Drosophila melanogaster: one gene and its partner. The protein of the gene in region 1 purifies or fractionates together with the protein of each later gene. This does not show direct contact. Each region holds a gene or a part of one and is shown on either strand. Other genes may lie near its edges. The genes, in order: U2A and SmD2.

Region 1 (3,467 bases):
AGGCTCCACCTCCAATAGTGTATCAGTCAGCTCATCCACGAACGCCAACACATCGATGACAGTATTAAACCAGAGCCAGACACGATCACGGATCGTAAGCTCGACCAGCAGCACTGACAGCACCGAGACCATCACAGAGCGCAGCACCACCAGCACTAGCAGCAGTTCATCCAGCAGCTACGAGAAGCAGCATGCCAAGGCCTGTGCCAATTTAATCAGCAACGAAATCCTCAGTATGCGCAACGGACAGTTGGGCGCCAAGTCTGGAAGCTGCGCAGAAAGTGGTGGTGTGAAGCGGATAGCCGGCAAGGAGATCTCCACGCTATTCGAGGTTTGATCTCCGAGGCCGGAGCTGCAATGCGATAACTTTTATTCATCAGCGATCAAAATTGGCTGGCTACTTCGCTTGGTTGATTTCGGTGCTCATCCTGTGCGTCTAACATTCGCATTTGCTGCATAGTGTGTATTCCTTAAGTTGTGTCGTATTAGCCAGTATGCCGCATTTTGCCTGTAATTTCATCTAGTTTGTGTTTGCCTGTTTAGCTCCTATTTAATCGAGCCGTCTAATAGAATCACTCTTCCACTTACCCACAGGAGACATTAGTTGAAGAACTGCAGCAGAGCATGGCGACCAGACGCGGTTTTAGAGACTCGACCTACACCAAGGAGGATGTCGTTGATTTATAAGTGTTCTAGTTATATGCTCAACATTCCCTCACGTCGATCCCTAGTCCTTCACCCAACCTGCCACAGTTTCACGTGATAGATAGTAGGGTTGATGATAACGTTAAGTGATGATACTGATGATAAGGAGGAAATGAGATGAAATGGTGAAGACAGAAGGATAGAGGGAAACAAGGTTGCAACTTATCGTACTGAACCATTAATTTATGTGCAATGCCGCGTGTGTGTTGTTTTCATTTGGCAATTTAGAATGAACGTGATTTATTTATTGATACAAACCCTGATACTTTTATCCAAATTAACCTTTGCATATTTTTAAAAATGTTTTGTGTACTATATTTTATATTTTTATGTATTTAAATCAGTTAAGTGCCAATTATATACAGAATTAATCTACAAATATTTTTAGCGTGTGCTCTACATCAATTTCAATGAAACTAACGAAAATAACGCAATGAATATGATACACTATACATATTATGTAATTCGATTGAGTGTATAAGAACTATTTTAATGGGCTAAACCTAAAAAAATCTAAATGAAATATAATATTTTTTATAACTGCTTCCAAATACAAACTTTATGGTTTATTATTTCCCCTTTTCTGTTTACCTCCCCTATACACATACTTATAGTATTTATAGTATTTAAGCGACAATCCGTTTTCAAATTTTGAGGCGCGTTATGCCGCCAGAAACAAATGCATTTATTTAGAAACAAGGCGGAGACCGACGATCTTATTGATTATTTTCTAAATAGTTAACAATTTAAGAAACTAGGCGAAAACGAAACCGATATAAAATTACTAAGCCATTTAACAACAGAAAACCGAAATCTATAGAAAACTAATTACCCTTATCGCAAAACGATCAACTTCAATTTTGATGATCTAGTAGTTTGCACCAACGACACAGAATATATTCAGAGCAGCGTTTAAACTTTAAACCAGTCCACCACCGACCACACACTTCGAGTTTTGAGTGTATCCCGTTCTCATTCAAAACCCCGAAACGAAATAAGAGAAACTTAACGTGTTCATTAAAGTTAAGCAATTAAAACATCATTGTAATCTATTGAAATTCAAATTAAACGGAAACGATATTGGACAGTAGTGTTATTTATTTATTTTTGAATTTCGAAAGATCAGGGGCCCTATTGGCAGCATTGGAGTAATCCCAGTATTATTACGATATTTAGAATGGTAGAAGCCCAGCAGACCGATAAAATACCAAAACATTGTTACCACTAGATCTATCGATAGCGATGCCGGCATTGCTTGCTATCGGAAAACTGTTCATCACCAACTCGCGTCGGCAGCGAATTGTTTTTCTGCATTTCGGAAAATAAGCTTCAAAAGAGTATAAAAAGACCGAGTAAAGACCAAACGTAAGCATACTATAACTGCCAAGATGGTGAAACTAACGCCGGAGCTGATAAACCAGTCGATGCAATACATAAACCCATGCCGGGAGCGCGAGCTGGATTTGCGCGGCTATAAGATTCCACAAATCGAGAACCTGGGCGCAACTCTGGACCAGTTTGATACCATCGACTTGTCCGACAACGATCTGCGCAAGCTGGACAACCTGCCGCATCTGCCGCGCCTCAAGTGCCTGCTGCTGAACAACAACCGCATCCTGCGCATCAGCGAAGGGCTGGAGGAGGCGGTGCCCAACCTGGGCTCCATCATTCTCACCGGCAACAACCTGCAGGAGCTGAGCGACTTAGAGCCCCTGGTCGGATTCACCAAGCTGGAAACCATCTGCCTGCTTATCAACCCGGTATCCACGAAGCCCAACTACCGCGAGTACATGGCCTACAAGTTCCCGCAGCTGCGGCTACTCGACTTCAGGAAGATCAAGCAGAAGGACCGCCAGGCGGCGCAGGAGTTCTTCCGCACCAAGCAGGGCAAGGACGTGCTAAAGGAGATTAGCCGGAAGTCCAAGATGAGCGCCGCAGCCGCCATAGCTGCAGAGGCGGGGAATGGCAAGGGAAGGGGATCGGAAGGCGGACGACTGGCCAATCCGCAGGACATGCAGCGCATCCGCGAGGCCATCAAGCGGGCCAGCTCTCTGGCAGAGGTGGAGCGTCTATCGCAGATCCTGCAAAGCGGCCAGCTGCCGGATAAGTTTCAGCACGAGATGGAGGCGGTGGCACAGAACGGGGCGGGGCACAACGGTTCGGGGGCCGTGGCCATGGAATACTAGGACTAGAATTATCCGCTCATCTGTCAGCTACCTTATAACCGTAGACCAATATTTTTTAATAAAACACCAAAAGTTGATTCATCGCATTCTGCATTTCGGACACTCAAAAACATATAGAATCTTCTGTTTTCAACTAAGACCGCTGGCCGAAGGATCTTTCACGGAAAGATTCGGGACAATCGGTCACAACAGAAATGCATTTACATGACCGTAATTGGCTAAAAGTTTAACAATCTACAGCGAGTACAAAGGGGACACAAAACGAGAGGAGCTGCTGGCTTATGTGGAGAGTGGAGTGGTGTGGTGTGGACCTGGCTCCTGGAATCCGGTATTGCTGGGGAGTGTTATTAAGATCCTTTCGCCGCCATTATGGCGTCGTAGTGCAGGCCAGTGTAGAAGATGATCCACGTGACCAGGAATCCGGCAAACGACGTCATGAACCCCTCCTTGATCAGCTCCCATACCCCTCCGTAGGCGTCCTCGTCCACGTTCTGAAAGTTTATGGCGTACAGGTAGACGATCCCGCAGCTGATGCCGGCGAATCTGGGGGCGCATTGGATTGATTAAGTGAAGTGA
Region 2 (8,267 bases), on another chromosome or scaffold:
CGTAGTGCTTCCCGGAGCTCTGATCGCCGCACACTGCGCAGGCACTGAAGTTCGACATGGTCACCGGTTGGCACTGCTTGCCAATGAGCCAAAGAGTCGCCGCGGACTGAATCAGCTCATCCCGGATATTGGCGGTTTTATATGCCACCTGGATGTGCTACACCCGCAAATGATATGCAAACCAGTTACACAGAGCAAAAATATGTTTCCTAACTAGAGATGGAAATTGTATTTCAATGGGATCCAAAGAACAAATTCCTAAAAGCGAAATATCACTAAAATATATTTTATTCAAACTTAGGACTTTCAAAACTAGAATGCAAGCACCAGAAACCTTTTAAAATAATTAAGATATTTGTGTAAGAAATATATATAGTTTGATAAAAATTAAACAGTATCGGTATACGATAAGTTTTTGTTATATATCAATCTCGTATTTAAATATTTAGTCGTAGTCAAGTTAAGATATAAATCCAAAAAAATTTGATATAGATTTCTCCCAGTGTAGTAGGGCCTTGTGCCAAAGCGTGATTTGAGGATTTTTATTTGCCCGAGACGCCCCTGGCAGGGGGCGTGGCGCGTCAAAAGTGACAATCATCTACTACTATTGCGGACCGTGTTAACAATTTGTAAACAATTATTGTTTTGCTCTGTGATTGGACGTGCGCTCGCCACTCGAGGTGTCCGCGTTGAGGTCCTTTTGTCCTGACATTTCGGGCAAACAGCGAAGACGTTCTTTGGGGGTTGGGCTTAGAGAAGTTCTTATTCCGGAAATTCTCGAACTGTTTAATTAGACGTTTGTTTTAAGTCGCAACTTTTACCTAATTCTAGGTTAATAGGCGAATCACATCTTAAACAGAGGGATATATTAAATAATGAGTTCAGTCATAGAACGGCTTAGATCTCTTCGTCGGTGATATACACTGATAAACAATTGGGAGCGGGTGGAAGATTGCATTAGTCAATCGAATGATCTCAAACTTGCCTTAGCCAACCATTTCAGGCCTGGAAAGTACTGTAATGCAAGTACTTGTATTAGTCAGTGTCAGTGACTAATTCCTTCCATACTCCTTTCAATAGGTTCATTCCTAGCCAGTTACTAGCTCACGTTGGTCTAAAAATCTTCTTAAAAGCAAGCCCATAAAAAGAGAGGTTGCTCGGATGACAGGACATTGGGCATTTTTTACTAATCTAGTCTATATTCGATTTAGTCCATCAGTAAATGAAAGATTAAATTAGGGTCATTCCAATGATGTTGAAGAACATCAAAGTCTTTAAGGATATGGGACTATTTAACAAACGCTTAGTTAAATTCAAATAGGTTTCTAATAATCCGATTCTCCAAAATATTGTTCATGTTGGTAAATTTAAATGTAATAAATAGTAAAAGATAAGTTCAAAATAAGCTATGTCATTTGTCAACATTTCCGTAACTCTTTTTTGTAACAATATATAAATTTTGCATGAACATTTTATGGTAATGACACCATTTAAATTGTGCAAAATAGCTCGATATAAAAAACATTAATTCTACAACTAAAAAAAATTACCTATGCGGACCGCTTCAATAAAAATGTCTTCCTAGCTAATAAATATTTTAATAAAGCGAAATAAAAATATGACATTGCATTTTCCTAGTTAAATATTTTTCGTCACAAAAGATGACATCAGAACATTTTTATGGCGATGGTGCGATCGTCACTAGTTTTTAGTAAATAATGAAAAATTTAAATCCAGGAGCAGGATATGAATTAAGGAAGGAGAAAAGTCATTTTACTTAAGTCAACAGCATTTATTTTGGTCCAGCTTAGGGCTGGTCGGTCTGGCCAGCAGAACCACGTTTTCCAAAGTCACATCCCTGGGAACATAGAACTTAAGTTCTGCTTGATATCCGTGGGATCGTAGATGCTCCAGTCGTCCATAATCCAGAACCCGCTTGCACTGTTGGCCAATTTGTTCGCGCTCCTGGCGAGTTAGACGCTGCGTGTTCGTCTCGGTGAGCTGAAAGTCAGCCGATTCCATGGCCTTACGCCGCTCTCGGCTTAAGCCCGTGCCACAAACTGCCCAACTGACCATTTTGGTTAGGATAACGAACTCCCGTGGTCCAATTCCAGCTTCCTGAAGAAACTTGCGTCCCACGTAGGAGCGCCAGGAGCAGCGATGATGACAACACAGGGCGATGAGAACGTAGTCCGAGCTGGCATTTCCATCACCGAGTATACATCTCAGGGTCAAGTCTGTAGCTGCTCCACAGAGGTGCTTCGAAAAAGCCACCGTTCGTTGGGTTTTCTTTAGCTCCGGCAGAGCAGAAAGCTTAAGATCAGCGATATCAGCACGGATACGTTGCACCACCTCCCTGTTGGCCAACTTGTTGTCCTTCTTGTGCCGCAGGGACATTCGATCGATGAGGACCACCTGTGAGTGACTCAACTTCTGTTCCTGCAATACGGTGGCCAAAAAGTAGGCCAATTGTCCCTTTCCGGCTCCGAATTCTATATAGCTCGTGTGATCCATCAACTGGTGATCGTGTTCCAGGATGCCCAGCAAGCTAGTGGTCTGGGTGAGCTGGCGTAGCGTTTCCTGGCCGTAGTCCTTGCGACTAAGTTCCTCCTTTAGGGATTCGTGCTCCAGCTGCAGTTCCTGTATGCTGGAATTGATGTGCTTGTCATACAGATTCTTAACTTTGTCGATCAGACTGTAGAACTCTTCATCCGCCAGTTCGTGCAGTTTTATTTGATTGAATTTGTTCAAATCTTCGTCTGTTTCCTTAAGATTGTCTCCAGAATTCACTCCTTTTACAATGTAGGGCAGTGAACTTTCCTGATCCCTGGCATTGCAAATGGTCAAGTGTTTGGCTAGTTTTCTTTTAAACACGGTATGTTTGTGATCAAGCGGGCAGGGAATACGTTCCTGGAAGGAATCTTCTCTAGCTTTTTCATCGCAAGTTGCAGTGGTGGCTGCCGATGAGGCATGGGCTCCACAAAACTCACTGCCCTTGTTTGCAGTCATCTTGCAGCGGCGCTTTTTGCGTAACACCCAGTAGGAGCAAGTGGTGGTTACCGGCTTCTCCGCCTTGACAGTGGTCATCGTCTCTTTCACAGGTTCCATTCGTTACTTTTATTTTCAAAATAAATTCCTCCCAATTCGGAACTCGTGCCAGGCAGTGTGACCAAGGCTGGCACACTAGATAACACTATTACCAACTTTTCACAAAAATGTTTTAACTATGGTCTTAAATATGTTTACACTTCTTACATTGAATATTTTAATAAGTTTTTTAATAAAAAACTCAAATTGAGCTTGATTTTTCAAAATAATAGTTTATTTAATTTACGCGAATGCCAAACGCCGATAGTTAGCTTTGAAATTCAGGGCTGGTCGAGTGCAAACGTCCTCAGAGCTGGTAACACTGCAAAAAAAACGAAGCCGCGCTGAATACTTTTGCCAACAATAAACGCAGAAAACCAACTGAGAAGCGAAACAAGAAGACTATCAACATCATTTAACAAGCCATAGTTATAATCCGCTATGTAAGTATCCCGGGGCAGATGGGACAAACCATCGGAAATGGCGTAACTGGCAGCGGCATGTGCGCCGGCATTTTGCATTGTTAGCACCACGCTCGAGTTGTGGGTGAAATACTAATGTACTGTGTTCTCTGCAGGGCTCTTGTGAAACCGAAATCGGAGCTGACCCCGGAGGAGCTGGCGCGGCAGGAGGAGGAGGAGTTTAACACCGGCCCGCTGTCCGTGCTCACGCAGTCCGTGAAGAACAACACCCAGGTGCTCATCAACTGCCGCAACAACAAGAAGCTGCTGGGCAGGGTAAAGGCCTTCGATCGGCACTGCAACATGGTACTGGAAAACGTGAAGGAGATGTGGACGGAGCTGCCGCGGACCGGTAAGGGCAAGAAGAAGGTGAAGCCCGTGAACAAGGATCGGTTCATATCGAAGATGTTCCTGCGAGGCGATTCTGTCATCCTGGTCCTAAGGAATCCCCTGGCCACGGCGGCCGGCAAGTAGTCTACCATAGCGATAGCGTACAGCAACCAATATCCATCAACTTCAGTTAATAAATCCGTAAATCAACCAAATAAGTTCTGTGGACCAAAATGTGCCATTAATTAAAAGTGTGAGCTATAATTTACGACGGAAAATATCCCATCCCAGTAACATATCCCATTATAAATTTGTATAACGAAAGTACAATCCGTAATCGCAATTTCTTATATTTTGATTAACATCTTTTAATCGATTTTTCCTAAAGTATCTGTTTAAGATTAAAACGGAATCAATTCTCCGAAAGTTGCTTGTGCAGTTTTGGAACATAGTCGTCGTACTGGGCTTGGTAGAAAGTTCCAGCAATGGGATTGCCCAACTCGTGATTGATGGCAAACTTGGCGGCACTGAATTTGGGGCGATCCTTGCGGGATCTCTTGCTCACGCGCTCCTCGTCGAACTCAAGTTTGCCGGACTGCTTGTACAGCAGGAAGACGTAGCGATGCAGACCCGTGCCCTGGGGCGGGCCGGAGCCAATGTACTCGGCGATGGGCTCACCACTTGCCAAGTCGTTGCCGGCGATGTTGGCCAGAATCCAGTGCTTGAACTCGCGGAACTTGGGCTCCGCTCGGCTGGGGGCATCGGGATCCGTCATAATGAGCGTGTAGAACTCCCCGGGCTGCGCGTCCCACTCCACGACTGGCTGATCCTTAACCTGGGTGGGCGTTAGCTCCACTCCATCCTTGGCCACCAGGTTGTTGCTGTACGTGACCTTGAATAGGAACGATTTCACAGTTATTTGCTTGATTTTTACATTGTTGCGATCTATCAGCTACTTTACTTTAAGTTAGCTACCTTCTGACCTTTGATCAGAAAGTTGTGACGAGATATTTATCTAGATTTCTATTAAGCTCGGGTGTTAAATGTTTGAAATATTTTAACCTGGTCTGCAAGCACGTAGTTGAGTACATACTATTCGGATCCAATTTATTAAGACAAAGATATCCTCTATATATTTGGATCTTTTTAGTGTGCTTTTGTTAGTGGCCCCACCTTTAACAACTGGTTCGGCGGCTCGGGAATAACGTCGGGTACCACCTGGTGGGATCTGAAAACCTCCTCCACGGAGCCAGCTTGAACGGCCAGTAGGCAGCCCACCAATGGCAGTAGCACTCGCAGCATCTTTGTGGAGAGATTATTCGGTAGACGATAAGATCTTGAGAAAACCAATATATAGGAGCTCCGCTTTCGAATAAGGTTGGTCTGCAACTGAAACCAGTTTGCCATGATGCCATACTTTTAAAGCGAAGCTCGAAGCTTTTTGTTTAGTAAACAGCTGGGAAAAAATATACTCAATAATTAAAGTTATCTTTGTTTAAAGTTTCGCTTCGGAGATTATAGATTATTATTATACATTATATTTATTATACATTTATTCATATTATTTGCAAATTATACCAGTTGGTAATAGAGTAATTAAAGGGACTGGATTTGAAAAAAAATATTTTTTAAATATATATTATAGATATTTAGAAATTTATCTGTTTTTACATGATTCTTTTTCTTTACAGCATGCTTTGTAGGGATTTGGGAGCCTAATTATGAGGAGAAAGATACTACTTCTTGCCAGATAGTTGCTTGTATAACTTGGGCACATAGTCGTCCCACTGTGCCTGAAAAAAGTTTCCGGCAATGGGATCTCCCAGCTTGTACTTGCTCATGAACTTGGAGGTGCTGAAATTGGCTCGCTTGTCGCCGCTCGTTTTTGGGATTTTGGGCTCGTTGCAAGTGAGCTTTTGGGGCTGTTTGAAGACCAGGAAGACGTAACGATGAAGCCCCGTGCCTTGCGGCGGACCTGCACCCACATATTCGGTCAAAACTACGCCGTTCTCGACTTGGTTCCCTGGAATATTGACCACCAGCCAGTGGTGCCACTCGCGGAACTTGGGCTCCTTGCGACTGGGCGCATCCGGATCGGTCAGGAGGAGCGTGTAAAAGGCATTCGGATCTGCATCCCATTTCACCTTTGGCTGGCTCTGCACTTGCGTGGGTGTCAATTCACCGCCTACATCCACCACCTGTCCACCACCATAAGTCACCTGGAACAACAAAATGACATGGACGATTGTAGGCGCTATTTGTATTAGCTTACCGTAAGCAAAGTGGCAGGACACGTCTTCAGGATATCCGGCACGATCTTGTGCTTAGAGAAGCACACGGTGGAATCGGACATTTTTAGCTGAGTGGGCAACAACTAAAATGAAATTTGAGGTGCCAGAAAATTTCGTATTTTAAGGCTACGCCGACTTTAATTCTAACATTTCTGGCTGATAGTCAATAGATAGCCAATATTTCCAAAAATGGTGTCCTTGTAATCTGACCTAAATATCCTTATAAGGACATACTTTCAATAGCTTCTTCTGAGATATATTTGGAATTATTTTTATTGGAAGCTGGACTCTAAATTCAAAAGTGTGCTACTTGACGGGCATTGTGCGAGATGGCTTTGATAAGGGATGGGACATCGGGGCTCCATTGGGATGTGAAGAAGTTCCCAGCTACCGGATGGCCAAATCTGTATTTCTTTGCGAACCGCTTGGTTTCAAAGCCACTGCGACCCTTAACCGAGTGCTTCGGCAGTTTCGGGAAGTCAAACTTGGTGTAGTCCCTCTGTTTGTAGAGCAGGAAGACGAACCGATGGGTTCCGGTCCCCTTCAGCGGAGTGGCACCCATGTATCCCACGCGCACGTCCCCAAGGGCCAACAGATTGCCGGGTATGTTGAGGACCATCCAGTGTAGGAACTCCCGGTGCGTGGGTGTTATAGCATTGGGTACGTCCGGATCCACCATCAGCAGGGCGTAGTAGTTTTCCGGTGCCGAGGGCCACTTTACGGAGGGTTCATCACGCACTTGCATGGGTTCCAGTACCTTTCCACAATGTGCTGCTAAATGCCCGTGGTAAGTAACCTTTTGTGGGAGCAATTCAATTTCATAATATGATTAAAAGTATATTATTTAATTTTGAACAGTTGCCTAGAAATACAATTGTTGAATTGGGCATAGCATACATTTTTTTGGTTAAACTAAATTGGAATTCAAATTCTTAGATATCCGAATATTATCTCTTAAATAATTCTTTATGAGATCATTATTTGTGTTTTACTCACATTAAGAAACTCCTGCGGTCCGATGTGTATTACATCTGGTATCACATCCAAGGACCTCATGATCTTGCTCACTTCCGTATCCGACTGATGAACTCCTCTAGTTGATTTGAGGCTCAAGCTTGGCGCGAATCGCATGAAAAGTAGGATACATATGCTAGCCAACATTGTGAACCAAGTCTTTCACTGACTTCAAATTGGCTGATTGCTGGCTTTAAATACCCATTGCATCTAACATATGTTTTCTGCCTGGCCAATTAAGCAGCAAACACAGATGTCAGTTCCATTAAGTTAAGGTACTTTGCAACTTCCTTACAACTTCATAAAACAAATTGTCGTGTCTCAGGCCAATTAATGGTTCACTACCACCACCCACAGCAGTTGCGTGCTGGCGAGTTCTGTAAACATACACTATAAAATCAGTTAGTACCTCGTTTAGTTGACTATTATGCTACGTGACCCCTCATTTACTTGCCATTGCCCAGAGCACTTCATAAGTAAGGCACATCAATGAATTTACTTAAAATTCTATTATATTATATACACCCAGAGAAAAGCCCGCTGTCAACGATCGCGATCTATCCAAGATCGAATCATAATTAGATCGAGATCGAATCATTCTCAGATTGCAAATGACCTTGCACAAAATATAATAAATATTAAGTTATTATATCTTATTTAATTTACCAATTTCCGTACCAAAAAACGTTGATGAATGTTTTAAATTTTTGCATTTTTAATAAATTAAATAAATATTAATTAAATTCAGTTTTTGGTCGTTTTGTGACAAAGAAACGAAGGCAAAAGGACGAAGAGTCAATGAGAAAGAAGATGGTATGAAGAAGATGGTAAAATCAGGCTAAGTGGGGATGTGGTTAGAGCTGAAGAATGGCTAAAACTCTCGCGTTCCTAACCCTAACAACTACAATTATGGCCTGGGGCAGGTTCCGGTTCCATTTGGTCTGTGTGACTCGCAGCCATCCTTCCTGGGAAGGATCGCAAATTCCTTGGTATGTACAATTGGGCGAATGACTTTCCCCGTTTAGGAGGACGAGCTGTAGCTGGACGAAGAACCCGAGGATCCCGACGAGGATCCCGAGGAGTA

What was found.
Region 2: the proteins of U2A (region 1) and SmD2 purify together in Drosophila melanogaster (affinity purification with mass spectrometry, with the first as the bait; one large-scale study listed by BioGRID). This does not show direct contact.

Annotation. Positions count from the first base shown.
Region 1 is NT_033778.4:7,674,862-7,678,328, reverse strand, and holds U2A (U2A), read left to right. Parts: upstream 1-1,966; 5' UTR 1,967-2,093; coding exon 2,094-2,891; 3' UTR 2,892-2,967; downstream 2,968-3,467. Other genes in the region: LRR (Leucine-rich repeat), read left to right, coding at 1-331, 595-687; CG12107 (uncharacterized protein), read right to left, coding at 3,239-3,434. UniProt on the Drosophila melanogaster protein: Involved in pre-mRNA splicing as component of the spliceosome. Associated with sn-RNP U2, where it contributes to the binding of stem loop IV of U2 snRNA.
Region 2 is NT_033777.3:6,341,034-6,349,300, reverse strand, and holds SmD2 (small ribonucleoprotein particle protein SmD2), read left to right. Parts: upstream 1-3,389; 5' UTR 3,390-3,528; coding exon 3,529-3,530; intron 3,531-3,664; coding exon 3,665-4,022; 3' UTR 4,023-4,290; downstream 4,291-8,267. Other genes in the region: Hr83 (hormone receptor 83), read right to left, coding at 1-58; CG18048 (uncharacterized protein), read right to left, coding at 1,783-3,108; CG17919 (uncharacterized protein), read right to left, coding at 4,291-4,770, 5,052-5,180; CG10298 (uncharacterized protein), read right to left, coding at 5,615-6,097, 6,151-6,231; CG17917 (uncharacterized protein), read right to left, coding at 6,465-6,965, 7,166-7,300; Osi20 (osiris 20), read right to left, coding at 8,205-8,267.